3 linked regions of the Sus scrofa genome follow. The protein of the gene in region 3 interacts with the protein of the main gene of each other region in a pairwise test. Links are inferred from orthologs where the notes say so. Each region holds a gene or a part of one and is shown on either strand. Other genes may lie near its edges.

Evidence for each region.
Region 1: the proteins of CPSF7 (region 3) and CLK2 interact in binary tests that used the Homo sapiens proteins (3 or more experiments, as listed by UniProt). The link is inferred for Sus scrofa from reciprocal best matches to the Homo sapiens genes CPSF7 and CLK2.
Region 2: the proteins of CPSF7 (region 3) and SMAD3 interact in binary tests that used the Homo sapiens proteins (3 or more experiments, as listed by UniProt). The two-hybrid records come from large-scale screens. The link is inferred for Sus scrofa from reciprocal best matches to the Homo sapiens genes CPSF7 and SMAD3.

What each region holds. Positions count from the first base shown.
Region 1 is NC_010446.5:94,553,697-94,563,941, reverse strand, and holds the start of CLK2 (dual specificity protein kinase CLK2), read right to left. Parts: upstream 5,658-10,245; 5' UTR 5,315-5,657; exon of another isoform or gene 3,837-5,314; intron 3,782-3,836; exon of another isoform or gene 3,481-3,781; intron 1,676-3,480; coding exon 1,506-1,675; intron 1-1,505. Other genes in the region: HCN3 (potassium/sodium hyperpolarization-activated cyclic nucleotide-gated channel 3), read left to right, coding at 6,096-6,379, 9,964-10,245. UniProt on the Homo sapiens protein: Dual specificity kinase acting on both serine/threonine and tyrosine-containing substrates. Phosphorylates serine- and arginine-rich (SR) proteins of the spliceosomal complex.
Region 2 is NC_010443.5:164,993,563-165,003,875, reverse strand, and holds the start of SMAD3 (mothers against decapentaplegic homolog 3), read right to left. Parts: upstream 5,420-10,313; 5' UTR 5,238-5,419; coding exon 5,032-5,237; intron 1-5,031. UniProt on the Homo sapiens protein: Receptor-regulated SMAD (R-SMAD) that is an intracellular signal transducer and transcriptional modulator activated by TGF-beta (transforming growth factor) and activin type 1 receptor kinases.
Region 3 is NC_010444.4:10,082,324-10,092,361, forward strand, and holds the start of CPSF7 (cleavage and polyadenylation specificity factor subunit 7), read left to right. Parts: upstream 1-5,257; 5' UTR 5,258-5,273; coding exon 5,274-5,464; exon of another isoform or gene 5,465-5,862; intron 5,863-6,017; coding exon 6,018-6,126; intron 6,127-10,038. Other genes in the region: SDHAF2 (succinate dehydrogenase assembly factor 2, mitochondrial), read right to left, coding at 103-326, 5,143-5,178.

The sequences.
Region 1 (10,245 bases), on a different chromosome or scaffold from region 3:
ACATTCAAGTCACTCTCAAGAGAGGACCAAGGCCCAGTGCAGTGACGTAGGTAACTCAGCAAAAAGGAAGATCCCCACAGCTGCACGTCCCCGAAAGCTCTGAAGACATCTGTATAACCACGCCCTGTGAAGGGCGCCCCCCTCCCCATTAGGGATGCAATGGAACAGAGCCATTTCTTTCACGAGCCTTTCCTGACAGACATGTAGCCTTGCTCCAAACTATCCCTAACCCATCCCTCCCATGGAATATGCTGCTGAGTTATTCAAACCATGCAGCCCCAACTTTGTCTTGTCTATTAGCAACCTCTAGCCTCTAGTCTTTTTTTTTTGCATTTGCTTTCCCTCTGCCTGGGACACTTCTTTCGTGTCTTTCAGACAAGCTTAAATGTCCATCTCTGGGAGGTTTTCTCTGAACAACAGTTCTTGCCCCACTCCAATCAAACCTTTTGGATGCTTCCTCGGCTCCTTACGACACACTTCCTCTGGGATAACCACCCCTCCTTTAATGGCTGCATCTGCGGCATGAGGAAGTTCCCTGGGCCAGGGACTGAATCAGAGCCACAGCTGTGCAACCTCTGCCACAGCTACGGCAATGCTGAATCCTTTAACCCGTTGTGCCAGGCTGGGGATAGAACCCCTATGCCCATAGCAACCCGAGCTGCTGCAATCAGATTCCTGATCCACTGCACCACAGCAGAAACTCCTGTAATAACACTGAACATTACAGTACAAATGGCTTGTTTTGTTATCTTTTTTTTGGGGGGGGGGTTTAGGGCCGCACCCATAGGTTAGGGGTCGAATTGGAGCTACAGCTGCCAGCCTACACCTCAGCCACAGCAATGCAGGATCTGAGCCATGTCTGCAACCTATACCACAGCTCACTGCAACACCAGATCCTTAACCCACTGAGGCTAGGGATCAAACCGGCATCCTCATGAATACTAGTCGGATTCGTTTCCACTGAACCATGATGGGAACTCCCTTGTTATCCATTTTTTGGGGGCCACACTGAGGCACATGGAGTTCCTGGACCAGGCATCAGATCTGAGCCGTAGCTGAGACCCAAGCAGCAACGCCAGATCCTTAACCCACTGCCAGGCTGGAGTGTACCCTCGTCCCAGCATTCCCAAGAAACTGCCAATCCCATTGCACCACAGCAGGAACTCCTTGTTACCCATTTTGAGCATAAACATCCACAAGCTGCTAAGCATGAAACCAATACATCTTTTTTTTTCCTCTTTTTGTCTTTTTAGGGCTGTACCTGCAGCATATGGAGGTTCCCAGGCTAGAGGTCAAATCGGAGCTGTACCCACTGGCCTACACCACAACCACAGCAACACCGGATCCTTAACCCACCGAGCAAGGCCAGAGATCAAACCTGCATCCTCATGGACACTAGTGAGATTCGTTTCCACTGAGCCACGATGGGAACTCCAATAAATCTTTGTTCAATTTAACAAATGAATGAGTGGATCAAGTATGAGTTTCTCTTCCTGAGGCCTCACCTCCGGGAACGGACGTGGTAGCTGTCTTCCCGTCGGCGCCGCCGTGTCCGGTCACTGCTGCTTGACCAGGAGCGGCTTCTCCGTCTCTTATGCTTTCGGCTCCGATAGTGTTCATGGTAACTCCCCCGGCTGCCTCGCTCTGAAGAATGGTACCTTCGAGGATGAGGCATCTAGAAAGGAAGGATAAACAGAAATAGTGGGGCAAGCTCTGAGTTTTCAGGCGTCCCTTCCAAGGACTGACTCCTCCAGAGATGCTAAGCTGTTTTTTTGTTTTTGTTTTTTTTAATGGCTGGACCTGTATCATACGGAGGCTCCTGGGCCAGGCCAGGAATTGAATTCCAGCTGCGACTGTGACCTATACTGAAACTGTGGCAATGTCAGAGTCTTTAACCCACCGTGCCAGGCCAGGGATCTAACCTGTACCTCCGCAGCTACCTGAGCTGCTACAGTCAGATGCCTAACCCGCTGTGCCACAGCAGGAATTCTTCTAAGCTGCTTTCTGTTCTTCAATTTTTACCTGTATTTACCACCCACAGCTTCCTCTGTGCTTAATGGAGTATATATTCACCTAATAACTCTGGCTGACAGCTTTAGGAAGCTTCACTCCACTGAGTTCATTGCTCTAGTCTGATTTTCCTCAAATATGGCTTCATGACAACATTCAGGCCACAGCTCATTACAGGTGAGACTACGTAATTGACGAAGATGGCCACAGCTCATCTTTGGCTGAGATTTTGGATGGATGTGTGCGACGCTGCATTCGCTATTGTGCTTTACTATAATGAATAATGCTTCACTATATGCTATTATGGTGTTTTACAATCATTAGTGTATCTTATCTCCCCAACTAGGCCATCTATATCCTGAGGGTAAGAATCCAGTTTTCCAGCTTTCCACTTATAGTATATATACCAAACACAAGCAAGTTCCAGGGATCTGGGTCTGGCCCCTTGAACATTTCTCACATCAATGGCCAAATCGTCCTTAAATGGTTTTAATCCAGGAGGCCCCAAGCTGCAGTCAGCTTTCCACCCAGCCCCTTCCCTTTTGGGTTAGGAAGTACCGAATAACTGCTTTTTAATTATTATCAGTACTGCCTGGCTAAAAGCCGGCCACCTTCCAGTTACTGGAATTGGAATGGCAGGGTGCACTAATTCTTTTTTCCTTCAAGGAAAGAAAATTACTGTCAGGAACCAATAAGATGAGACTTACAGGGCAGAATGAAAGTACATGGGCCAGGGACAGAGGTGCACCTTGTTGGGGGTGGCAGTGGTAGGATTAGGTGTGGAAAAGGCTTAATGATTCCAACATCTGGCTTCCATTCTGAGCTACTTCTCAAATTGAAGAGAAGGGTGGCATTTGATTCATTCCAGGCGTAAAAGGGCTTGCAGGAAGCCAAGAAGACGCAAGTACAAGATTCTCCCCGATAACCCAACCTTGCTTAACACAGCCACGCACATGTCATCTCACTACATACACAGTGCCACCAAAGTCCCTCACAGGCTTTCCTCCTTCCAACCCTCCCCCCCAACTATCTCCAGCTTACAATCTTTCTCCACTTCTAATCTTTTCCTCTCTTTCTCACTTAGAAAATCCAGAACTAACTCCTAGAGTCAAACTCTTTCCACAGCCTCCAAGTGACATGGTGGTGTCTTCCAACCTCTCCAGCTTTGGCCCAACTTTTGAGATTTCTATTCTTTCTCATCTTTGCAACCACTCCTATCTTTACTCCATCACCCCTTCTCCTACTTTGGTCCCTCCTAACTTTCCTATTGGTCTTTACCAATGCATCTAAGACAGGGCGACATTCCACCTCATCTTCCTACTCCTCACCTCTGCCACTTCGCACGTCTCAGCCCCACCCCACCCCCCAAGCTCGCCCCGGTCCCTTGCCCCCAATCCAATCTTCTCCCCGTCCGCCCCGCGGTCGCCATCTTTCCGCGCGGCCCCGCGGCCCGCCAGCCCGCGCGCTCACCGTTCTGGCGGCGAGGCCCGTGCGCTTGTCCCACAGGAAGTCCGTGATGGCGGCGGCACTGCGGCCGGAGTCCCGGCACCCCCGCGGCGACGAAGTGCGGCTCCACCCCCCCAACCCGAGACCCTGGACCTCCCGCCTCGTTCCCGGGCTCCGTTCCAGTCCCGCCCGCCCCGGCTCCGTGCCCGCCCCCAGGATCCGCTTGGCGCCGCTCGCACCGCCCCCGCCCGGGGCCCGATCCCAGCTCGGTCTCCGGCTCTGGCCTCCCCGATCCGCCGCCGCCGCCACCGCGAGCGAGCACGTACGCACGCACGCACGTCCTGCGTCGATTCCCAGCTACCCCTAGGCTCCGCCCCCCAGGACCGCGCACGCCTTCGCGTCTTAGCGTAGCTCTCTGCTGTCCGGTGAGAGCCGAGGAGGTGCTGGGGGCGGAAGCTCATGGGGGCGGGGAGAGAGTGGAAGCGGTTTATTGGGCTCGCGCTGCCTCGCCTGGTGTTCTTCCGTATCCTTCCTCAATCTTTGACCCTTTTCGTGGGACTTATGTGGCTTGCTTTGTTAGGTTTGGAGGTTGAAAGGAAGGGGTTGTGGTTTACGGAATGTCATCGCTCCGCAAACCTTTTGAAGCCTGGTGGTGAGGTGTGAGTCTCCATCATAGCCTGTTTTTGAAACAGTTCGCCTACCAAACCACAGCAAAGAGGGGTTCCCATCTTTTGTCCTGAACAAAAGCTGGTGCACGTTCTGTATATGGGGGAGGGGGGTAATGGCTTTGGAGGAAAGGTTTGAGAAATGGAGGGGTGGAGATTCAGGTGCCAAAGAAGGGGAAATCACTTGAGAACTTTGTTATATACCTACACATAATATATGATAAGTCTAAATTTGGTGAATTAAAAAAAAAAAGCAGAAGACGAGAAAAACTGGGTAGAGTTACAGATGTTATAGAAGGAATTGAGCAGTAATTAGGAAAATGAAAAATAACCTGAGGATAACTATATTCAAGTAAAGAAACAGAGAGGAGTCAGGGTGGAGGATAGTCAGAAGGAATTTTTCATCAGTTGGCCAGAAATGGTTTAGGAAAAGTTTCTTGAAATAGAAGCTGAAGGGTAATGAAGGGGTGGAGAGGAAAGTGAACCTCACTTCCTTCTCCGTGTACACTTTCCCTCGTTCATTCAAAAAGCATTTATTAAGTTCCTACTCTGTCCAGCACTGTGCCAGGCTCAAGGCTCCTGTTCTTCAGAGCTTCATAGTATAATGGGAAAGACCTGTAAACAAATAATGGCAGCCTTGTGCTAAGAGCTGTTATGAACAGTGGTGCCCTGGCCACTGTAAGAAAGCTCTAGACTACAACCCTAGCTTGGGAAAGGAGAGTTATAAATGTGTTTCTAGGTTTCCTAGAGGAGATGACATCTGAACCAATGGATGGAAAGTGAATTGGAGGAGAGTGCTAGGCAGAGAAAGTATTTACAAAAGTCTGGAGACAAAGCAAAATGAAGTGTTTAAACAGAATTGGAGTCCTGGCTTTCAAGAGAGGGACTATCAGAAGGGAGGTTGTTGAAAAGAGAGGTCTAAATTTTGCAGGGCCTTGTGTTGTCATTCTAAGGAATTTAACCGTAATCCTATAGAACACTAAGAAGTTTGAAGGATATTAAGCAAGTGAGATAGCTACATTTAGATTTAGGAAGTTAACTCTGGAAGGAGAATTGGCCTGAGAGTTGAGAGACCTATTTAGACGCTTCTGAAATAATCTGGGTGAAAAAATGCTGAGGGCTTGAAATAAGTCGGAGGCAATAAGAAATGGAGATAAAGGGAAGAATTTACTTCACATACTACTGTAATTTACCTGTTCTGTTTGCGGGCGTAGACGAGCAGTGCCTTTATGGCTAGGGCTTTGTATTCATCCTTGTATCCTCAGCGGTCGCTCAGTGATGGGCCGAGTTGCTTGTGGTGAAGGTGGCAGATGAATTCAGAAATGAAATACTCGGGGGAGCAGTAACGAGGAGATCCTTAAGAATATGCCTAGGAGAGTGCTGAGAGAAAAAAAAAAGTGAAATGCAGGAAGTCCGTAAGCGTTAGGAAGGAGAATCCCCAAAGAATCCCTGCCTCTTCCATTGGTTCCCAATTCCTCGCCCTCCGGAGCCATACGAACTACAACCGGCGTCCGGTTTTCCCGCGGATCTCAGGCGGCTCCGCCTCCCCGGCACTCCGTGGTCAAAGGCACCGCAGCTCTAGGCCACGCCCTCTTGGCACTGGCCGCGTTCTCCTACGCTCCCTGCACCTGAGGGACCGCCCACATTGGCTAAGCCACACCCACCTCGGTATCCCTCCGGTTACAGGCTTTATTGGCTCCGCCCCCTCCCGGGAGGTCTCTCGGTGGCCCCACCTCCGCCCGCCCTGCCCAGCCTTCCCGCAACTCTCGCCAGGGGGCGCAGCGCAACCCCCCTGCCACCCGCGGCAGAGTCTGTCGCACACACCCCCTCCGCCGGCGCGCCGGCAGTTCCTAGCCGACTACGCCTCCGCTCAGAGCCAGCCCGGCTGCTCCCGCTCCGACTCCGGAAAGGGTCGGGGGTCCCGAATGGCCGCGGCAGGGTATAGGAGGCCAAACGTGTAGGCCGACAGGCGTCATGGAGGCGGAGCAGCGGCCGCCGACTGGGACCAGCGACGGGGCGACCCCTGGACTGGAGGCGGCGCCTCCTGCTGCCCCGGCGTCTACGACCACGGCCTCCGGTCCGATCCCTGGGTCCGGGCCCGGGCCTGAGCCCAAGAGGAGGCAGCTCGGGACGCTGCTCCAGCCTACGGTCAACAAGTTCTCCCTTCGTGTGTTCGGCAGCCACAAAGCAGTGGAAATCGAGCAGGAGCGGGTCAAGTCAGCGGGGGCCTGGATCATCCATCCCTACAGCGACTTCCGGTACTGAGGGTCCGGCAGGGAGGGCGGGGGACACAGGTCCTACCTCCACGGGCCGGGGCACGGGGCCGGGCCAGCCCCACCCTCCACAGACACTTCATTTCCGGCCCAGGGGTCCCTTGGGGGGCCGACAGTCACTTCCCCCAACCTAGCCCGGGAATTCTTGGGCAAAGGGTCCCCAGCTGGAGATCCTGGCTGACTTCTTAGGCTGGGGGCGCTGGAAGGGACAAGCAGATTAACAGAGACCTGGATTTCCCATTTCAGGAACCCGGCACCCCACCTGGACCACAGGGAATACAGGAACTAGGGACCGCTGCCTCCTCCAGTCCTGCTTGCTGGGGATCTGGGAAATTTTATCATATTTCAAGGCTCAGGGTCAATCTGAGGGAGAAACCGAACTCTGCTATCTCCCACCGACCCCATTCCCGTCCCCAGCACCTGCCTAGTTCAGCAGGGCAGGCGACCAGGGAAAATAGGGACGCTGGGGGTGGGGGAGGGGGTGTCCAGACAACAGCTCTGATCGCTGTCCCTGGTGCTGAAGGAGGAATTCGGCCGGGCAGGGCCGAGACTCAAAAGTGATTTGAGGCAGCCACGCAGGAGCACGGCCACCGCCCAGGTGACCACCAGAGAGAAGGGACGAAGAGAGGGGGTGGGGCTATTCCACAGTCCCCATCAGGCTGTACCTCCACATCAAGGTCGCTAGGGGAGGAGAGCAACCCTGTCCTTGGGGGAAATGAAGGACAGCTTTTGGATGAGGCAAGGATGTGTGCAAAGCACCCAACTTGGGGAGCAAAATGAGCAGAAAGAATGAGGTGTGAATCAAGAGCCTGGAAACACAATTGGAGACCCAGACATCATCTTAATCCACATACACACTTCCTAAATGTTCCTAGTTCTCTCATTGTCCTTTCACTCCTCTCTTCCTTACTGCCTCATTCTCACCTTACCAGTGCACCTTTTCTAGTCTCTTGAGGGTCACTGTTCTCTCACCCATTTCACCCTCAAATGTATCCCCAGAAGCCATGTATTCCTGGTATTATTGTGCTTCTTCTCTGTCCTCTCTCCTGCATCACCCGCCAGGCTTGTGACTGCCTGTGAGTCAGGCTGTGAAGATGCTCTATGGCTAGGCAAACCCTCTTTCCCTCTCCTCTCCCAGCTCATGTACAGGATTTGTCCAGTGGCCATGAAGGAGAGGAAGTGGGGATCTAGTATTTGTTGATAGAAAGCACAGCGTCTGAGGGGCTTCCTGGAGGCCTGGATTTGGAGATCACTAAGCTTCCTTCGGGGGCTGAAAGGACTGATCTTGCAGTCAGAGTCACAAGGGGCTGCGTCCTGGGTTGATGCTGCAATTAAGTGTGTCCTGGAATTGAAACCACCATAGCTAATTAGGACCCTCAGATTGTCCAGTGATCTTTGAATGAAGGCTTCACCTCACTCCCTCCTCTCCTGACCTCTTCTTTTCACAGCTTCCACCACAGCAGTGTGGCTCTCCCTGCCCATGCCCTTGCCTGGGCTCAGCCAGAGTTCCTGTGGGCATAGGGAGGTTAGGGGAGGAAAGGAGGGCAAAGCCTCAAGCCTTGCTGCCTTGGGATCTGCTGTGGGGCTTCTCAGTATGTGCAGCGCTGTCTGAGGTGCAGGACAGGGGACACCTCTGAGAAGCTAGTTCAGATGGAAGGCAGGATAGATCACCCCCACCTTGGGACACAGATGCGCAGATCCTAGCAGAGAAACAGGAACCGTAGGCCCAGCTGTGTTGGGGAGGAGGGCTGGGGTGGGGCAGGCTAGGGAAGGCGTGAAGTCCTAGACTGGGAATGGGCAGAGAGCTGGAGATGGGAAAGGCAGCAACCTCTTCAGAAATCTGGGGATAAAGGGTGGGTGAGTCATAACACCAACTACTGCTTGTACAGCACTGTCACATCCATTGTCTTGGTGCATATTTTTTCAGCAGCCCTGTGAGAGCAGCAAAGGGGATTTATCTTTTTTTAACTTAAAAAATACTTAATAATAAAAACATATAATAGTGACATATATCATATTCATATAGTAAGGATGTTAGCTATATATTACTGTATGTGAAGAATACATATATGCACACTAGGGGTATATTTAGTAGGGATATATGTAGATATATATATATGTAGCAAATATATCTATAAGGTGGGTATATATAGTAGAACAGAATATAATAGGATGTATATATAAATTATAAACCAGGAGTTCCTGTCGTGGCACAGCGAAAATGAATCTGACTAGGAACCATGAGGCTGTGGGTTCCATCCCTGGCCTCGGTCAGTGGGTTAAGGGTCCAGTGTTGCTGTGAGCTGTGGTGTAGGTCACAGACACGGCTCAGATCTAGCGTTGCTGTGGCTGTGGCGTAGGTCGACAGCTATAGCTCCAATTTGACCCCTAGCCTGGGAACCACCATATGCTGCAGGTGTCGCCCTCAAAAGACAAAAAAGACAAAAAAAAAAATTATAAACCAGACTCCCATATAACAACTATACTGACTATACTGTGGGTGTCCCAGAAGGCTTCCTACTGCTCTCACATTCCTTTCCCAAACCCACTATTTTAACTTTCTTTTTTTTTTTTTTTAAATGGCCACACCTGTGGCACATGGAGGTTCCCAAGCCAGAGATTGAATCCAAGCTGCAGCTGTGACCTGCAGTGCAGCCGTGGCAATGCCAGATCCTTGACCTCACTGCACTGGGTTAAAGGATCGCAGGGGGTCAAACCTGTACCTCTGCAGCAACCAGAGCTGCTGCGTACCACAGCAGGAACTCTCAATTTTTGTGGTCTCCATTTCCTTACTCATATTTATGGTTTTACCGCTTTTCTGTGACTCTCTAAGTAATGCCGTTTAGGTTAGCCTATTTTTGAACTTTTATGAGTGAAACCACATAGTATGTTTTGTTTCTCAGAATTACCTTTGGAAGATTCATTCGTATTGCCAAAGGTAGCTGCAGTTGGGTGGTTTCACAGCTGTATGGTATTCCGGGGCATGAGTATATCGTAGTGTATTTATCTACGGTGTTTGTCTTATTTACACTTTTCCACTGATGGACATTTGAATTATTTACAGATATTTATTTATTTATTTATTTGTCTTTTTGCCTTTTCTAGGGCTGCTCCTGAGGCATATGGAGGTTCCCAGGCTAGGGGTCAAATCGGAGCTGTAGCTGCCGGCCTACACCACAGCTCACAGCAACGCCAGATCCTTAACCCACTGAGCAAGGCCAGGGATCGAACCTGCAACCTCATGGTTCCTGGTCGGATTCATTAACCACTGAGCCACGACAGGAACTCCGAATTATTTGCAGATATGATGCAGTTATTCCTGTATATATCTCCTGAAACACGTTTTCCCTTGCATGTGTATATACCTAGGAATAGAATTGCAGGGTTGCCAGAAATGCAAATGTCTAACTTTACTGGGTAATTCCAATTGGTGGTCCCAATTTACACCTCCACCAGCTGTAAACGGTCGTTCTGTTATGCTGTATCCTTGCGCGCTTTTGGCCGAGTCAGACTTTCTGCCCTTGTGAAATAGCACGGTGGTCTTACTCCCCATCCCACCCTTACCTTAGGTTTTACTGGGACCTGATCATGCTCCTGCTGATGGTGGGCAACCTCATTGTGCTACCTGTGGGCATCACCTTCTTCAAGGAGGAGAACTCTCCGCCTTGGATTGTCTTCAACGTCCTCTCTGACACTTTCTTCCTGATGGATCTGGTGCTCAATTTCCGCACCGGCATTGTCGTTGAGGAGGGCGCTGAGATCCTGCTGGCACCTCGGGCCATCCGTACACGCTACTTGCGCACCTGGTTCCTGGTCGACCTCATCTCCTCTATTCCCGTGGATTACATTTT
Region 2 (10,313 bases), on a different chromosome or scaffold from region 3:
CTGCCCCCAAAAGCTATAAGAGTACACTTTATTAATATACTATGTCAAAGGAAATTACTGGTGCGTAGAGAAAATAAGGACCCACGAAATGCATAAAATGTGTAAATAGTCTATTAGCCTATCAGTATAAATGGGGAACCAGTGGCAACAAAAATCTGAAAAAAAAAATGTCACTGATAAGTACAGTTGGTCATAGGTTAAAGAAAGTATAATTCTTAGTAATTTCTATGAATACCAAGGTGGCTCCTGCATACATGGCCTGTATTTTGGCCCAAGTCTGTCTCCCACTCCAGACAGGGAGCCCCCCTGGAGAACAGGTGCCCTTCCCTGCTCATCAAAGTAGGTATTGAATGAATGACTGAATAATTTAGTAATGAATGAATGATATACATAGAAGGCTAAACAGAGCACATCTGTCAAACTCTGGTTTAAAAACATTTCCACAAGCTTTACCTCATCCTGATTTTACAGGTGCTGACATGAAGGCTCTAAGACATTAAGGGAACTGCTAAATCCATCCAGGTATTAAAACAGCAAGACACAGGACCTGACTTCTGTGCTTTTTTTCTGGAGAATACAGATAGCTGTCATTGTTTTGTTTTCTAACATAGTGACTTCCACAATATTGAAAACACACAACACAAATCTCCCACACTCCCCCCAAATATCACTCCCTCCCAGAGTTCTTATTTTTTCTGATGGCTGGGAATAAGAGAAATAGACACTCAAAGATAACACCTTACTAATGTTTCCCTTATTGAAGTGTAAGCTCCTCACAGGCAGGAGCCATCTCAAATTTATCTCGGCATCCTCCCCGCCCCCTGCCTGGAATATTGACACAGACATGGGAGAGACCAAAAAATAACGATGAATTCACAAAATGCAACCCTGGAGCCCTTGATTAGGAACCGTGAGCAAGGGGCTGTCTGCAACAAGCACTGGCCCAAATGTTCAACTCCGAAAAGCACAGGCAGCACATGCCAAGGTTCCAAATGTCAGGGGAACATCAGATGGCTCCTAGGTTCAGCTACACAGTCACCTACCTGATGGCCTGCAGGTCCCTCCTCTTCCCAGCCCTTGTGTGGAACTCCCCTAATCAAGGGGAACAAGAGAGAGGAGAGGGTGGGCCACCCCCCAGCAGCCACAATTGCGCTTGCTTCTGGGGGGCCACCCAAGGATGGTGCTCTGAGCAGCAGCTGAGAAAGGGGAGAAGACATGAGAAGTTGAGATGGAGAGGGGATTAAAGAGGCCACTCCTGCACCCTTGGTGTGTCCCCAGAAGTCTGAGGAAGGAGCGTTAGAGAGAAGGGTCTTTTCTCTTTCTCCTTGGGTGAGAGCAGCCTGGCAAAGTCTAGGTGGGTAATAGGAGGAGGCGGTGCCAAGAGAACAGATGCACAGGTAGGGAGGAGAGGGTGGGGGTCAGACCTGGCATCTGGTTCAATTCCCCCATTTCCCTCTGGACGTGGTGCTTTGACATAAGAAAGCCCAAATTCCCATCCAGACAAACCAGGCCTTAAGCATGGTCCCGCTCTCAACAGCTGGGCCTGGGCAGGAATCCCATCGGTGGGAAGACAAGTTACTGCTATCCATCAGAACAGTCTTTTTTATTTTTCTTCAAATAATCCTATTCTTTAAAATTTATTTTATTGAAGTATAGCTGATTTACAATGTTGTGTTAATTTCTAAAGTATACACTCTTTTTCATACTCTTTCCCATTCTGGCTTATCACGGGATACTGAACATAGTTCCCTGTGCTACACAGCAGGATCTTGTTGTTTATCCACTCTGTACATAATCATTTGCCTCTGCTAACCTCGAACTCCCAATCCATCCCTTCCCCCTTGGCAGTGAGTCTAGAACAGTCATTTTTAAGTGTGTGCGAGGCTCTTGATCACCGACACAACATATACATACCTTCTCGACTGCTCTGTGGGACATGCTATAAGTCCATTCTTATCAACTGGTCAGGAAGATACCTGCAGCTGTACTCGGGAACTCAAGCAGGTGACAAGTAGGATGCTGTTACACAACTTGTCCAAGCTCTGCCCATCCTGCCAGACCTCGGAGTATCCTGAGAGCCCCTCTGTTGGTGTATCTAAATTAAGCTCTTACCACAGCCTTGGCACCTGTCTCTCTTACGTTCTTGATGTCAGTAAGCCTGTTTCACTCCAGCTGTCCTGATCACTGAGACAGGTTAGAGACGGGGCAAGAGACACAAGTGTGCAGTCTGGGAGGCCCGAGTTAACAGCTCTAATTGCCAAACCGTGCTGTTGCTGCTCATGATTACATATTAGCCAAAATACGCTTGTCAAAATCTCCTTAGACTGAAGGCTCCTTAAACCCCAAGGTCCAGATCTTGCAGAATACTTTTAAGAACCCAGGGCCCCACCTCCCACACACAGTAGGATAACTAGGTTAAACACTTCCCTTTGTCAACTTTCCAAAGCCCTAGTCATAAAAGTCAGCGGGGAGAGAGCAGACAATTTGACAAGCAACACCACAATCTATGGGGCTCAGAAACACACCGATGTCCCTGGGGTGAGGCCAGCTAGCCACCTCCCCAAGATGTGGCCTTTAGTTTGTAGCCCACGACCAAAACAGCAGCAGCAGTTGCCAAGGGAGACAAGGTGACCCAGCGGCGTGGGCACAAAAACCAGGGATGGAAATCCACTTTGTCTGGATCCACCCAAGCGACTGGGTTTCCCTAATTGAAAAAGATGGAAAAAAAAAAAAATCTGCCTCAGCACTAGGTCCTTGCCAGACAGGTAGAAGACGGCCCAGTCCTAAGAGAATCATGAGAAGGCCAAGTTAACCTGAACTCTCAGAAACACCTGAAGTGTCCAATACCTCGGGCTGCAGAGGACTTTGAAAGAGGAAAAGACAGACCACAGCTGTGCTTCCCCAGAGGGCAAACTCCTACTAAGGCAAGGGAGAACAAGGCCTCTCCTCCAGGCTGTCACTAGCCCAGAGGCCGACACTGGCAATGTTACCAACAAAGATCCTAGGGGCCCATCCCTCTGGCTAACACAGCTTTAGCGGTCAGCAAAGAATGTATTCCAAAGCTTCAAAGTGCAGAGCAGCCTGGCCTAGCAGAAGGAGCACATTTGGTCAGAATCCCGTTACTACACCAAGCTTTTTCACCTCTCGCCTCCAAAGTTTTCTCAACTTTAAAAACAAGATAAATCTTAGGCCTAATTGCCTTATCTATTTTCCAGGAGTTTCTTTTTCTTGCTCTCATAAAACCACGTGAAAGACCTTGGTAAACTGTAAAACGCTTTACACAGCTGCTCATTTTATAATTGATACTTTTTTTTTTTCCTGTTTCAAGGCATAAAGCCCTTGCCCTCAAGGCACCGAGACAGGTAAGAAGGCAGGTTTTGCAAACCCCTCCCCAGGCGGGAGAAGTATGACATCTGTTCGCCCTACTCCTTGACCCTCATCCAAAGGAATAAAGAAGAATTAAGCACCAGGGCTGGGACCAGGACCTAGGGCTCACTGACCATCACATCACACCACCTCCTCTGAAGTCAATTCTGGCTCCTGATCACACGCCCAGAACACACTTCCCAGACAGCACATTGCCTTCCCTCCCGCTTTATTGACTGGATCCACCCAGTTTTGAAAAAAAAAATTATTATTTTTCAAGTCAGCACTCCCACCATATGCAGCATTTATTTCCAGGGGAGGCCTGCCCTGGGTTCCCGTGGACAGATGTTGCTTTGTGCCTGCCTGACACGGCTGGCAGCCTTTATACAGCTGCCCCAAGCAGGTGGCCAAGGACGGAGTTCACTCCTGGCCCCAGCAGCAAGGATGGCAATTTCTGTGGGGTGCAGGCCCTGGGGACCCTCCACTCAATCCTCTGCAGCCCAGGACCCAAAGGACATCTCCCCCACCCCACCCCACCCTGCCCCCCCACACACACACTTTCTCTCTCTCTCTCTCTCTCTCTCACACACACACACACACACACACACACACACACACACACACTCCCTTGGAGCAGAATCGGACTTCTAAAGGGGGCTGGCTGAGAGGGAAAGACAGGAGACTATGGTGCCCCCACACCCCAATTCCCAGCCAGGCGCAGCGAAGCTAAAAGAAGGCCCTGGGGAGTGGAGAGAAGTCACTGACCCCTTCTATCAGCCATCTGTGAGCTCCCGCCTGACCTAGCTAGCGCAAAGTGGAGGATAAAGGAGGTCCAGACAGATGGCACAGCGCTTTGGGAAGGAAGGCTCTGTAGGAATGCGAGGGCCGAGGCGAGGCCCCCCTTTGGGGTGCGTTTTGTTATCTCCTCAGTTCTCAGCCCCCCGCGTTTTGCAGCCACTCGCAATCTATGGCTGAAAGGTGGGCCAAAAAACAGTCGGGGGAGAAGACCCTACCCTCTGCCACTTATCTCTCTCATTTGAAAGTCAGACCACCCCACTGCAAGTAAAGTGCGTGTGTGTGCGGAGGGGGCGGGAGACTGGCACAACCGAATCTAAAAATACTCGATAAAAATGCTAATCCCGAAGGCAAAGAGAGAACGAAGAAGGAATCTGTCAATCACGAGGCTCCCGCTCCTCACCCACAGCCCCAGCTGTACGGACTGCATTCCTGCCGAGGAGGAAAGAAGTGGGGGGACAGGGATGAAGAAAAGAAAGGGAGAGACACCACCACCTCCACGAGCGCGGGCCGCGGGGGCGGGAGGCGGCGGCGGAGGAGGGGCTCCGGCCCGCGGAGCTGAACAAAGCGGGCCTCAAGTTCTAGCCCGCAGCTCCCCCGGGGTGGGGGCCGCCGATTCCAGCAGCACCCGCTTTCCCGGAGGTGAAAAGCGAATACGAGGTCTGGGAGCGCGAATGCCGTGTGGAAGCCTCAGGCTCTGAATCTCTGCAAATCCAGAGAAGGTTTTGTTTGGGGTCCCCCGCTTTCCTGTCTGTGTTCCCACCGCCCCCCCCCTACACACACACGGGCACCCAGGCCACCCCTCCGTTCCAACCCCCCGCCACGCCAGGGGGCTGGGCGGGCGCGCCCCAGGGTCCCTCGGGCCCCCACCTGGGGATGGTGATGCACTTGGTGTTGACGTTCTGCGTGGTGATGGCCTTCTCCAGTTCGTCCAGCTGCCCCGTCTTCTTGAGCTTCTTGACCAAACTCTTGACCGCCTTCTCGCACCACTTCTCCTCCTGCCCGTTCTGCTCACCCTTCTTCCAGCCCAGCAGGCGTTTCACGATCGGGGGCGTGAAGGGCAGGATGGACGACATGGCTGGGGAGGGCGCGCGGGCGGCGAGGGGCGCCCCCGGCGGGGCTGGGCGCGGCGGAACGCCGGGGGCGCAGCGGGGAGCTCGGCCGGGCTGGCCGCGGCCGCCCAAACTTCGCCTCAACTCTCGGCGAACTTGCCGGTGCTCCCGGCCGGGCCGCGGCGCTGCAGCCTGCGGGGCTCGGCGTGCGGCCCTGTGCCCCGGGCGGCTCCCTCGGTGAGGAGAAGAGCGGCGGGGAGAAGGGCGGGCGGCAGCGGCACGGGATCGGGAAGGCCCCGGACGCGGGGCGGAGGCGGCGGCCGCGGGGCTCCGAGTGGCAGAAGAAAGTTTGGGTTTCCGCACGGGGTGGCTGTTTGGGTGCCGCCTCCAGGAAGGAAAGTCCAACCCTCAGCCAAACTTTGCTCGCCTCGCTCGCTTTGATGCGCAGATCCCTCCGCCTCGGCAGCCTCGCCTCCCTGCTGCCCTCCTCCTTCCCGGCTCTCTCGCTCGCTCGCTGGGCCGGCCCGGGGCGTGCGCCGCGCTCCCGCTCCCGCTCCCGCCCGCTCCCAGTCTGTGTTTCATGCAAATCCGCGTGCAGCCTCCTTTCCAAGCGCTGTCACCGCCCCCTTGCCGCCGGGGCTCCCCGCCTCCTCCCCCGCGCCCCGCCGCCTCCTCCCGCGGGCGCCCTGCCCGCCCCCCGCCTCCGGGAGGGCGCCGGGCCGTCCCCCGCCCGGCGCGGAGCACGCCCACGTGGGCGACCGGGGGCTGCGGCGGACCTGGCTGGAGCTCGCAAGACCCCGCGCGGCCCTGACCTGAATCCGGCGGGCGCCGGGAGGAAGTCGTGGGAAAGGAGCGGCGAGAGGGGCCCCGGACGGGAGGGCCGGGCTCGGGCCGTGGCGTCCGCTCTCGGAACCCACACTAAGAAAGTTCAGTTGGCGTGGCGGGCCCGAGAGGGTTAGGCTCGCACGAACGCACGACGTCTGGCCGCAGGCTGGCCGTGCATCCCTGGGAGGACCCGGGTCCGAGAGAGGGCGTGCGCAAAGCTGAGGCCCAGGAAGGCTGGCAGCGCACTGGTATGCGGGCACGCGAATCCCGGTTAGGGACCTTGGTGGCGCCGGTGACTCTAGGGCTCCTTTAATTCTAGCACCGGTGAGATCTTACCGGTTTAGAGCCCCGAGACCGTGCGAAGGAGGGATTAGGAAGGGGCTCGCTCTCAGAAGTGGAGATTCGGGGACCCTAGTGACTCCCTGTATAATAACTGGAGCCAGGGGGTCCCAGGGGCCTTGGGAAACAAGTGCCCAGCAGAAAACGGGCCTCAAAGGTATCCGTTGAGTTCAGGACGGGGCGCTTCAGAATTTATCTTTGGAGGAAAAGTTTCATTACAGGGTATTTGGAATCTTATGATGAGCAAAGAGCCGAAATTCAACACCCTATAAATAGAAGGCAAGAGCTTTGTTTTCAAAGCTGTGAACTTGCAAAAAAGTGGGGCAAGAGGGCAGTACCGGGGAACCTTATGTATTCCAAATTAGCTCTGGTGGGAAGCAAAGAAATACCAAGATATTGGGGGCCCTCTGGGGCTTCTCTCCCCAGAAGCACAATTCAAGGGCATCTGCCCCCAGACCCCTCCTGCAGCTGCTTTCAGGAGTTACCCCAGGACCCCAGGGCCTTTCTCCTGCTGCCCCTCCCCTACCAGGCCTCTAGCCTTTGTTTGTTTTTAACAGCAGGAAACTCCTGTGGTGAGAAAGAAGTTATCTGCAAACTCTGGCGGGTGGGGAGTCACAAAGCTCTGTGAGGTGTGGCCTAATCCACAAAATCAGCCCAGAAGCGCAGGGACCCCTGCAAGTAGGAGTGACTGCCCTCCTACCAGCCTGTCCGCACTGGGGCTGAGCACTAACTGGGCTCCTTGTCTTCCTCTCTTCTAACTCCCCGCCTGCTGGGACCTTAAGGGGGAATCCCTGAACCCCAACCCGGGCTTAATGACCTGATTCCCCTTCCTGGCCCATCCCCAAGCTAACTGGCAGCCAGCGTCATCTCATTTCACTCCCTTCCTCCCAGCCCTCCTCAGACCAGAGCAGGGAGGAAGGCAATCAACATTTATTGATGGCTTTCTTCCTTCCAGGTAGCCCAAGTGCTTTCCTCTGATTTTGTCTTCACAGTGGCTCTGGAGGTAAATGTCCCCCAGCCTCCCATTTACAAATGAAGCACCTGAGGTTGGAGGTTATAACATGTACTCGAGATTCCCAGGGCAGAATTGGGATTGGGACCCAGTGACTTGTGAGGCCTCGGTCCACATTCTTGCCACTGCACCCAGCCAGCTGCCTTACAGAGCTGGGAGGGTGAAGGTGACATCACAGATGGAGCTCTTTGCAACACAAAAGTTCTTTACACAGGTGCACTATTGTGATACTACAAGAAATGTTTGTTCACCTGTAAAATGGGGCTAGAAGTAGCTTTCCTCTCAACCTCCTAGGGTGGTTGTGGGGATCCAATGGGAAAAGCTTTGCAAACATCAAGTGCTGTAAAGAAATAGAAACACGCCTTGGGGGAGTTCCCACTGTGGTGCAACGGGATCAGTGAGTGGTGTCTCTGAGTGCTGGGATGCAGGTTCAATCCCTGGTCCAGCACAGTGCCTCGCAACTGAAGCTTGGATCTGATCCCTGGCCCAGGAACTCCGTATGAAGAGTAAAGAGCCAAGCAGAATGGAAGGCAGCATTCGGTTAGACTTATGTCTATGGAGCACCTCCACTGCTGGGAATCCAATGAAAGAACTTAGGTCCCTAACCTAAGGAGCTCCCTAGCTGTGTGCCTGCAAAAGGGCCCTTGCCATCATCCCAGTAAAACATTCCTTTTAACCTGAAGATCAAATCAGGCAGGTCCAACTGTTGAGAGGCAGTCAGATCCAGTCAAAGGACCTCCGGCTTCATCATGACTGACCTGGCTTTCGATCTTAGCTCTCCCTCTCCCTTCACCACACTGAGCATCTGTTCTCTTCAGCTGTAAGAATGGAGCACACAATTCTTATTACGAACCTAGAAAGAGCGCTAACGCTGTTCTCCATCCGTGGAAGCCCTTCATTTTATCAGGCAGATGCCAGGTGTGGTGAAGGGCAGTTTGCACTCTGGAGGTCAGGAGCCTAAGAGAGATCGAGGATTGAATGCACTGGGCGGGCCTGTCATGATCCTAAGCCTCTGAATCATGGCACAGGAAGGGCCCCTTGTCTTCCTGAGGGGAGGCAGTAACTAGTCAGCAGCTAGTTAGCATGGCTGAACCATGCTGTCCTGCACTGCCTTCATATGCTGGCACCCACGGGACAGGGACAGCTGTACATGCAGAAAAACACCACCAGACCCACGTGTGAGTCCAACAAGTGCCACTTCCGGGCCAGTTCTTTCTCCTCTGGCCTCCTCAGTTCCTCCACTAGAAGAGTTGGGGAAGTCAGCTCAATTACACAAAGCAGTGAGGAGGGCTGAGGCTTGGATTCTTTGGGGGCCAAGAGGACCCTACATGCTCCTTTGACCTCGGTCGGTGAGCAGGTGGGTGGCTCTGGATGGTAGGAACTCTGATCTGGTGCCTGGTCTGCTGGGGCCCAGCCTGGCCAGCTTCTGCAGAGGTTGTCCTTGGACGGGAAACATTAGCTGGGTTAATTTTTTATCACAGCGAGTGCAAAGTTCAAGAGAGGTGGGATGGGGCCGGAGGCGGTAACTCCATTTCACTGGGAATAGTCCTATGGGGAGGAGCCTCGCAAGAGGATTTGCCAGAAGGTTTTCATGGCTTTGGAGCGGCTGGCAGGTGGAATGCTGGAAAGAAACAAACACCTGTCTTCAGTTCTGGTGATTTTTCCATTTGCCAAAAGGGTGTTCATCACTAAGAGGTGAATCTAGAAAGAGCAATAAAATTGGTCTGTCTTCATCTTACCCAGACATAAAGTGACACCTGGTGAAGAGAGGGGATTTTCAACCCGGAGATAAGTCAGGATCTAGTCAGGACTAGACTTTTCCTCAGAGGGCCCTCACCTGAGAGAGCACTTCTGTCTTCAGTCAGAACTCTTTCTTGGCTCTTTGTAGCATCTTACACATGTGAGCTCTCCTGTGGCACCAGAGAGACCTGAAGTAAAATGTCCAGTCCCCCATTTTCAGCTGTAAGACTTTGGGCAAGTCGCTTAACTCTGTGTGCCAGTTTCCTCATTTGTACAATGGGAATAATAATACCTACCTCTTCAGATCGCTGTAGGAAATCAACCCAGGTTGAGAGCTTTCACCAAGCACACAGTAGGCCTTCAATACACATGGACATGTTTGGTGCCCCCATAGAGTACTATGCACAAGTTAGAGACAATGAGTTCCATGTACACAGAACAAAGGGGTGGATCTTCAAAACAGTTCCAAGTCAAAAAGCACACAGAATGAAACAAATGACATAATGCTACTTATGTAAAAAATTATATAGACACAAAGTAACCTTCAATTTTGAAAGAAGTCATAGAAACAAAAAGATACCCGTGGACCCACTTCATACCCACTAGGATGGCTCTTATCAAAAAAGGAGAATATCGGAGTTCCCGTCGTGGGGGTTGTGGTTCATCTCTGGCCTCGCTCAGTGGGTTAAAGATCCAGCATTGCCCTGAGCAGGCCTGTAGGTTGCAGAGGCAGCTCAGATCCTGAGTTGCTGTGGCTCTGGCATAGGCCGGCGGCTACAGCTCCGATTCGACCCCTAGCCTGGGAACCTCCATATGCCACAGGAGAGGCCCAAGAAATGGCAAAAAGACAAGAATATAGGCGTTCCCACCATGGCATCGTGGGTTAAGGATCTGGCATTGCTGCAGCTGTGGCGTAGCTCCAGCTCAGATTTGGTCCCTGGCCTGGGGACTTCCACATGCTGTGGGGGTGGCCAAAAAAGAAGAGAAAAAGGAGAAAATAAATGTTGGTAAGGACGTATAGAAAATGGGGACTCTTGGGCATGGTTGGTAGGAATGTAAAATAGTATAGCATTGTAGAAAATGGAATGGCAGTTCCTCAATAAATGAAATATGGGATTATCACTTGACACAGCAATGCCATTTCTAGGCATATATCCCTAAAGAAGCAAAATCAGGGACCCCAA
Region 3 (10,038 bases):
TGGCATGGCCCTAAAAAAGACAGAAGACAAAAAAAAAAAAAAAAAAAAAAAAAGGCTGTCTCCAGCCAAAGAGAAGTGACAACCAGACTCCTATTGCCCTACCTAAGCAGGATGCAGTTTTCCAGCATTCCCCTCTTTCTGCTCTCGTAGAGCAGGCGGGCTCTTTTGGTCTCTATGGATTCATCCGTTCGCTCCTGCCACGGAGGCAAAGGGATTTCAATCATGTCCGTTTGGGAATCTGTTGGGCTGTCACCTCGGTAGGAGCGTCTGAAGGATGTCACGCTGAACAAAGGAGACACAAGGTGGCGCCTTGACAGAGCAAGCCCCTGAAACAAATAAGCCACAGACATCTTTACGACAGGGACGACCACCTTTGTCATTCACTCAGCACTTACTAGGTGAAAATGTGTCCGATCTCCTTTAGTTCTTAAGAAGTTACGCTGATTTATAATAAGTGGAGAATACTCTTTAAAAATTGTGAATCACTACATTGTACACCTGAAATTTATAAAATATTGTAAATCAACTATACCACAATTAAAAAAAAAAAAAGTTGTGCTGATACAGTCCCCACTTTATAGTTTAGGAAGTCGAGGCTCATCGAGGTTAAATGACTTACCAAGGTCACCCAAATAGCAACTGCGGTGAGCACTGGAACCCAACCCTAACTGCAACATGTTCTTAGGCAGGACCTTACAGAAACTCACCAGCAGAAATATTTTCTCATTCCTTTGCATTCCCTTAAAATTTTTACACCATGGTTTGCATTCTAGTCCCCTGCCTGAGTTAAAATCTGAGCATACAGTGATGTCATGGTCCCTAATCCGCCCAAATCTCCCAATCTAGAGAAGAGCTAAAACTATCAAATGCAATGAGAGGGTGGTGGCATCAGCGAGATGGTGGAATAATAGGAAGCCCCACGTTCTTCTCCCATGGAGACACCAACTCCCCAACAATACTCGGACTGATTCCCTTTATGAGAAATCCAGAAGCCAGTGAAGAGGCTCCTGAACCTTGGGTGAGCATAAAATCAGCTGTATTGGAGTTCCCGTCGTGGCGCAGTGGTTAACGAATCCGACTAGGAACCATGAGGTTGCGGGTTCGGTCCCTGCCCTTGCTCAGTGGGTTAACGATCCAGCGTTGCCGTGAGCTGTGGCAGAGATTGCAGATGTGGCTCGGATCTCGTGTTGCTGTGGCTCTGGCGTAGGCTGGTGGCTACGGCTCCAACTGCACCCCTAGCCTGGGAACCTCCGTATGCTGCAGGAACGGCCCAAGAAATAGCAAAAAGACAAAAAAAAAAAAAAAAAAAAAATCAGCTGTGTTATAGCCGGAAGGAAAATTCACAGCACTCATTCACCATGGTCCTTCCCCTGGCCCGGACCAGTGTAACCAGAGAAAACCCTCAGCTCCTGGCTTCTCCCTGAGAAGGGGAAAGAAAAGACTGGAACATACATCCAACATGTAGCCTCTCAGGGATGCCTCTTTGACTAGCTTCTGTCTTGTTTGCATCCAAGTGTGACAGGGTGCCAGGCTGGGGGCTGCTGAGATCTAGGTGAAGGTCTGGACTGGCACACACTCACTATCATCCCTACCCCTGGCTCAGCACAGAACAAGCAGAAGAAAAGCCCCAACTCCTGGCTTCTCTCTGGGGAGGGAAGAGTTAGGATGTGTGTCTGCCATTCTAGCTTTCTAGGGAGCTGCCTGAGAGAATGGTTTCTGTCTTGCCTGTCTCAGAGTCCTGACAGGACCCAGCATGCTCTAGATACCTGGGGTGCCTCTGAAAATAAAAGAAAGCTGGGCAAAAAAAAAAAAAAGACTGGAGTTCCCATTGTGGCTCAGCAGTAACAAACCTAAATAATATCCATGAGGATGTGGGTTCGATCCCTGGCCCTGCTCAGTGGGTTAAGGATCTGGGGTTGCCATGAGCGGTGGTGTAGGTCACAGACACAGCTTAGATCTGGCATGGCCGGCAGCTGCAGCTCGGATTCAACCCCTAGCCTGGGAACTTCCATGTGCCATGGGTGCGATCCTAAAAAAGAGGGAAATGACAACAACAACAAAAAATGGCTGGGCAGGTTGCTGCTGCTCCTAAGGACTCACAGTACAGAGACAGAGAGACCAATGGAAAGAAAGGAGAGGAGCATGCATCCAAAGCGCCTGCTTTTCAAGGGGCAGCACAAAGGACTGCTTTCTGTCTTGGCCAACTTGAAAACAGGATACACCAGAAGACTGGGGGCTGCTGCAAAGGCTTGCAGCACCAAAAACAGACACTAGAGGGAGCAAGAGATTATTAGCTCCTGAAAAAGCCAGCAAATTCCTCCAGTTGGGAATTTACATGCACACAAGTCTAGAGAAGATATTTCCACATATACGGTTTGAGAGGCCCCAGATTCTCTAGCCAGACTGACTGGCAAAGGTCTTTCCTTGTACAAATCTGGTCCAAGGGACTAGGAAAGGTAATTGTTTTTTCAAATTCATGGGTCTAAGCACAAAGTTGCAAAGGACATGAAAAAAACACCAAAACAAGGAAGGCCTCATCAAAACAATAAAATAAATTTCCAGAAACCAACCTTGGAAACAGAGGTTTATGAATTAGCTGACAAAGAGCCCAAAATAACAGTCATCAAAATGTTCAATGAGCTGAGGAAAACAATACAGAACAAAATAAGAATATCAACAGAGAAATATTTTAAAAAAACAAATTTTGGGAGTATCCCATTATGGATACTACAAATCTGACTAGTATCCATGCGGACGTGGATTCGATCCTAGCCTCGTTCAGTGGGTTAAATATCCAGCGTTGTTGTGAGCTGTGGTATAGGTCACAGATGGGGCTTAGATCCTGCTTTGCTGTGGCTGTGGTGCAGGTCAGTGGCTATAGCTCCAATTCGACCCCGAGCCTGGGAATCGCCTCCATATGCCTCAGATGCAGCCCTAAAAAAGACAGGGAAACAAAAAACAAAAAACCCCCAAATTCTGGAACTGAAGAATAACCAAATTGAAAAATTCACAACAGGGATTAAAGAGCAGCCTGGATCAAGCAAATCAGTGAACTCAAAGACAGACATTTGAAATTACACAGAGGAAGAAAAAGAAAAAAGAGAGAAAAACAGTGAAGTATGCCTAAGGGACTTACGGGACATCGCCAAGCAGACCAATATAAACATTATGGGAGTCCCAGAAGAAGAAAGGAGAAAGAAAGGGACAGAAATCTTATTTAAAGGAATAATGGCACCAAACTTCCCCAACCGGGGGGAAAAAATGGACATCCAAATTGAAGAAGCCCAAAAGATCCAAAGGATGTTAGTAACACAAAAGCATATGAGGAGTTCCCGTCGTGGCGCAGTGGGTAACGAATCTGTCTAGGAACCACGAGGTTGCAGGTTCGATCCCTGGCCTTGCTCAGTGGGTTGAGGATCCAGCGTTGCTGTGAGCTGTGGTGTAGGTTGCAGACACGGCTCAGATCCCGAGTTACTGTGGCTCTGGCGTAGGCCTGGCAGCTACGGCTCCAATTAGACCCCTAGCCTGGGAATCTCCATATGCCACGTGAGCGGCCCTAGAAAAGGCAAAAAAAAAAAAAAAAAAAAAGGCAAAAGAAAAAGCATATGAAAGCATAAAATTCACTGGTAAGGTATGTACATGACAAACACAGGGTACCGGGACATGGTAACGATGGTGGCTAAGTCACTTTTAATTCTGGTTTTTAAGTTAAAAGACAGAGACTTTTATGTTTATTTATTTTTAATTAATTTATTATATTTTTTTGCTTTTTAGGGCTGCACCCAAGGCATATGGAAGTTCCCAGTCTAGGGGTCAAATCGGAGCTGCAGCTGCCAGCCTACACATAAGCCACAACACCACCAGATCCAAGCCATGACTGAGACCTACTCCACAGCTCATGGTAATGCTGGATCCTTAACCCACTGAGCAAGGCCAGGGACTGAACCTAAGTCCTCATGGATACTAGCTGCGTTCGTTACTGCTGAGCCAGGATGGGAGCTCCACAAGAAACTCATTTTAGGTGTAAGGGAACATGTAGGCTGAAAGTGAAAGTTTGAAATATATTCCATGCAAATGGTAACCAAAAGAAAGCAGAGATGGCCCTGCTTATAAAAGACAAAACAGACCTCAAGTCGAAAACTGTCACAAGAGTTAAAGCACATAATATAATGATAAAAGGGTCAATTCACCCTGAGAATATAAAAATTATAAATACACATGCTACCAACATGAAAGCACCCTCATGTATGAAGCAAATATGGACAGAACTGAAGGGAGAAATAAACAGCAACACAATAATAATTGGAAAGTTCAAAAACCACTTTCAGTAATGGATAGACCATCCAGACAGAAAAATCAGTAAGGAAAAAGAGGATGTGAATACTGTAAGCCAAATGGACCAAATATACATATACAAAACATTCCATCCAACAGCAGCAGAATGCACATTCTTCTCAAATACAATGAGAACACCCTCCAAGATAGACAGCATATTAGTTTATGAAACAGGTTATGAAACAAAAAGACTAAAATCATAAAAGATCTTTTCTAACCACAACAGAATGAAACTAGAAATCAACAGCAGAAGGTAAAAACTGGAGAATTCAAATATGTGAAATTAAACAACACGGTCATTCTAGAACAACCACTAGATTAAAGGAGAAATCAAAAAGGAGTTCGAAGATATACGGAGAAAAACAAAAACACAACATCAAAAAATTATGAGACTCAGCAAACGCAGTACTAAGAGAGAAGTTTACAGCCTATAGCCAAAAAGAAAGAGCGTATGAAGCTACGTCAAACCATGAGAGATACTGGAAAAGACCGAAAAAGAACACAGAGAATTAAGAACAGGGAGAAGGGGTGCCCAAAGGCTGTGGGGAAATAGGTGAAATCTAAATTAGGTCTTCCACGAAGACTGATCGGTCAACGATATCACGAGACCTGCACACAGTGGGCTCAGGCAAGGATGGATGCGACCTGAATCTCCTACGTTGCAATATCGACCTCTCCTTGGGTCTGCCCTTGCCCTGGGTTATTGAGCAGTTCTATGCTTCTCGCGGACTCCATGATTGCGGAGGAAGACGAGACACAGTTCCCACTGTGTCCTGCTCAGGACCCTAGAACCTCCACTCTCCTCACCCGCGAAAGAGCCGGGAATACGGTGGCCACCGCCATTTCCCCCGTCCCGCATCGGAAGCTTGCGGACCGTCCACTTCCGGGAACTTCCGGGCACAGCGACGCTGTCTGAGCCGGAAGATGCGTCCTCGCGCATGGCGGAAGTGGCTGTGCGTGTGACGCCGGCGGCGGGGGGGGCGGGACCTGGGACCGAGAGCGGTTCGCGCGCTTCGGGCCTAGTCCGGACTCGCCGCCGCCGCCGCCATATTCCCGGTAACGGGGGCGCGCGGCCGGGGGCCGGCTGGGCCGGAAGAGGGCTCGGGGACGGCGCCGAGGCGGGGAGGGGGTCGGTTGAGTTTGGGGCAGCGGGAGTTGGCGGGCGGCGGGAGGCGCGGGCCTTTGAGGGAGGGGGCCGAGGGCGTCGGGCCGGGTCTGTGGGGAGGGAGCGGGGCGGGCCTACCCCGGGGCGAGAAACTAGGCCTGGGTGTGGAGCCAAGGTGGCTGGAGCGCTGGTACCCGCAGGGACTCTAGCCGGGGCCGCTTGGGGCCTAGGCAGGTGCGGCGGGCTGAGGCTGCGGGCTTCGCCGCGGTCGTTCTTCGCAGCGCCATCCGAGGGCCCCTAAGAACAGAGGCCTGGACTTTCTCATCGCTCTACGGGCAGCCGCGCCGCGACTCTGGTCGGGCCCGAGGGTGATGGGCAGCGAGCCCCGCGAGCCCCAGCGGCCTGGGAGAGCGAGGGGCGGCGCGAGGCCGGGGGCGGGGCGGAGCGGAGCGGGTGGGGCCGAGCTTGGGCTGCCGGGATGCTGCGTCTCTGGAGACAGGAGGTTGGCAACCAATGCCCTCCTCCCCACCCGGGACCCTCATGCCTTCTAACTCTTGCTTCTTTCTGGATACCGCAGTGGCATCTTTCTTACCTTGTGCGTTCTCCGGGCTCGAGATCTTTCTTCCGGAACCATGTCAGAAGGAGTGGATTTAATTGATATATACGCTGACGAGGAATTCAATCAGGTGAGGGGTCATCTGGAGCTTTGGGAGTTCCCTGTGTCAGCGGAGGAAGCCCTTGCGGCAAACTTGCCGTGGTTCCAAGCTATGTCAGTCCTTGAGGATTTACTAGGTCTGAAGACATCATGTCAGATCTAACAATTTCCCCTCTAGCACAGACGTTGAGGACGTCTGACCATTCCGCTTATGTTAATTTAAGTCTTCAGGCTTCATTTTAAAGGCTTTAAGAGCAAATAAAAATCAGGTTTAATAGAATGGTGTATCAACCTGTGGAACTTGCTCCCCTAGGAAGCTGAAGTTGGGTGTCAGTCTCTTCAAAGACTAACCACGCTTAGAAATCAGAATTAGATTTGCTCTGGTATTCACGAGGACAACATTGATGTCTGTTCCTTTGAGATTCTCTCAAAGCGCAGCTGGAGTACTCTCCTCCCCCATGAGGCAGCGCAAGGCACAGTATGAAAGATACTTTAACGTTTAATTTCAGCTGCATTCCAGTTGTTTTCTGTTTTCCTTCCTTCCAGGCTTGACTCCAGTCTTGAGAAGTCCGTAGACATTTTAGTGTAATAAATTTTAGTGATGTATCTAATTGCTTGGTGGGAGGAGGTAATGGTGTCAAACAAACCAATTAAGAAGATGATCTAGGGGAGTTCCTGTCGTGGCTCAGCGGTTATTGAACCCGACTAGGATCCATGAGGACGCAGGTTCGATCCCTGGCCTCACTCAGTGGGTTAAGGATCCCGCGTTGCAGTGAGCTGTGGTGTAGGTCGCAGACTCTGCTCAGATCCCGCATAGCTGTGGCTGTGGTGTACTGTGGCTCCGGTTTGACCCCTAGCCGGAGGTTTGGACCTAAAAAGCCAAAAAAAAAAAAAAAAAAGGAGAGGAAGAAGATATAGACTCACTCAATATACTCTTAACTTGGGGTCGTTGTTCTCTTTGTGTTATGTCAAGGAACGCTGTACAGCGATCTCCGTTGAAACAATAATCTCATATACAGTTTAATTCTGAGCTCTTGAGAACACACCTCAAGTACGTTCCAAAGTGTCTATTTAAAGCTTATTAATATCATGCCTGGATTGTTTTCAGCACTGTTCTACTTGAGTAAGCTGGTTCTTTCAATTGGCAGCATTCAATGGCTGTATGTAAGGACCTGGAAAGAGGGTTAAAAAAAACAGGCTAGAGAGTTCCCCTGTGGTTCAGCAGGTTAAGTATCTGGCATTGTTACTAGAGTGGCTCGGGTTGCTCTTCTGGTGCAGGTTTGATTCCTGGCCCTGGAACTTCTGTGTGCTGAGAATGTGCCCCCTCCCCCCACAAATAAAACGGCCTAGAGAAGAAAGTGCCCTGATGGACCCTGATTTTGATACGAAGCAATGGAGGAGGTTGATACATGTCATTTCTTTCACTTGCTTAAGTTAGTCATTTCCCCATGTCTTCTCAGGCAAAGTGAAATAATTTGTATATTACTGCTGATTAACCTGAGTATGTTAAAGTTTTACAAATTTCAAACAAGTCAAATCATTATTTACGGATAAAAAGAAAGGATTAGTATATTTAATTACAAACCATTGTTTTCCTGACTTTTGCATGTTACTTTGAATCAGACTTTCACTACTTTTTATGTTATGTTGATTTTTTTTTTTTTTAACAGTGTGAGATAGCAAGAAAAGAAAGTTCCTTTAGTTCTTTTCTGTTAATTGAAAAACCTCAGCATTCCCTTGTGTTGTGGCGAGTTAAGGATCTGACATTGTCACTACAGTGACTTGGGTCACTGCTGTGGCCCAGGTTCAGTCCCTGGCCTGGGAATTTACACATTCCACAAGGGCAGCCCCCCCAACACCTTTTTTCCCCTTAATTTCCTTATCTGTGGGTTAATAGCAACATTCTACTGAGTATTTAAGCTGCTGATTTCACTTTTAGAAATGGAGAACAGGATTCTAGACCACAAATCAAGCCTCATTGGTCTGAGAGATGAGATTTCGTAATTTTTAAGCGGTATAGCTTGTAGGTCATAGACAAGACAAGCCTTATCTAATGGTCACTGCTTTGTCAGGGTAGAAGTCATTGGCCTCAGCTATTTGTTCTCTGATCTCTTTAGTTAAACGATTTTTTTTTTTAATAGGTCTAAGACAGCCCAAAAATGATTTGTGAAACCTAGTCGACATTTATACAAGATAGACAGTAGTTAATGCTTGATAAGTTGAAGAAGGTATAGATTTCAAATGTCTGTGTCTTGGGGAAGTCCAGGGGAGGGGTGCTTTTTTCCCCCACAAATGAGTTAATTTTTAGCCAATCTGGTTTTGGTACAATTTGGAGGCTGCTAAAGAAGTGGTAAAAGCTCTGTTTGGCTAGAATTGTTAGAAGCAAACTTAGATGGAAGGCAACCAGTACAGATTGTGTTTTAGAATGTTTCAAGAATGTTATTGATTCACCCCAAGGTTACCCATGCACAAGAACCTTGTCACGTGTACTTTGCTCCCCAGGGAAAATAAGCACAGTTCTTAGATGGAGCCCTACATGCGGACTCCCAGATCTCTCACAACGCATGCTGCAAAAGCCTCTTGTAGAACTAACTACTTAACTCTTGTTACACTGGGAGTCTTGGGATTCACAGCTGCCTCTTGGGCTGGAGAGGACAATTCTGGAAAAGTAATTGAGAGCTACCATTCTGCTGAGTATTTTGCCTCTGTTCTGTTTCTTCTGCTGAGACAGGCACTTTGCACAGTACGCCCAGTTTTCTCCTTACTTTCATCAACAAGTATTTATTGAGCTACTTCTGTTTGCTAGGCACCGCTTTAGGATTAGCGAGCTAAAAGGGGAAAAATGGATTTCTGTGCTCAAAAAAGGTTCCATTCTTGATGGCTGAGGGCAATGGATAATGACAGGGAAGGAGAGTGTGAGGAGAGAACTGTGGAAGTAGTAATTACAGAGCCAAGAACTGAGCTTTGGTTACAGTTGAAAGAAACAATGATATCAAATAGGTTGCTTTGGGGAAAAATATCTTAAGCTTTGTTATTCCCCTGTAGCTATCAGGAAAAGGGCTAGCAGGTAGGTCCATTGAGCATACAGGGGGAGGAGTTCGTTTGTTCTTTCTTTCTTTCTTTGGCTTATACATGCAGAAGTGTCTGGGCTAGGGATTGAACCCCAGTGTAGCAGTGACAACACTGGATCCTTAACCACTAGGCCACCTGGGACTCTGAGAAGTTCTTATTTAAACTCAAAATCATACAAGTTCTTTTTTTTTGTAAAACCAAAAGCTTCCTGAGACAGCTACGAAGCACACAATTCTGGAGTTCCCATTGTGGTGCAATGGAAACAAATCAGACTGGTATCCGTGAGGATGCTGGTTCAACCCCTGGCCTCTCTCAGTGGGTCAGGGATCGGTGTTTCCATGAGCTGTGGTGTAGGTCACAGATGCAGGTTAGATACCCTATTACTGTGGCTGTAGAGGGTAGCTGTAGCTCCGATTCAACCCCTAGCCGGGAACTTCCATATGCCATGGGTATGGCCCTCAAAGTCAAAAACAAACAAACCCACACAATTTTTATCTGGTATTAATTCAGTATTAAATATATACTCCTTTTTACTTTTCTTTTTTTTTTTTTTAAACAGCCTCACCCACAGCATATGGAAGTTCCTGGGCCAGGGATTAGATCTGAGCCACAGCTATGACCTACGCTGCAACTGCAGCAATGCTGGATCCTTTAACCCCCTGTGCTGGGTCAGGATTGGAACCCTAGCCACTGCAGTCAGATTCTTAACCCACTGTGCCACAGCAGGAACTCCCATTTTTCTTTAATCTCCCTGGAGTGAAACCTTCAGCATCAATGCCTATAAAACATTCTGTTTTTCCACTTAAGTTGTAGAATTAGGTTTTGCTTAAACTGTGGAAATCACCAGCTCATTTGGTAATCAGAAAAACCT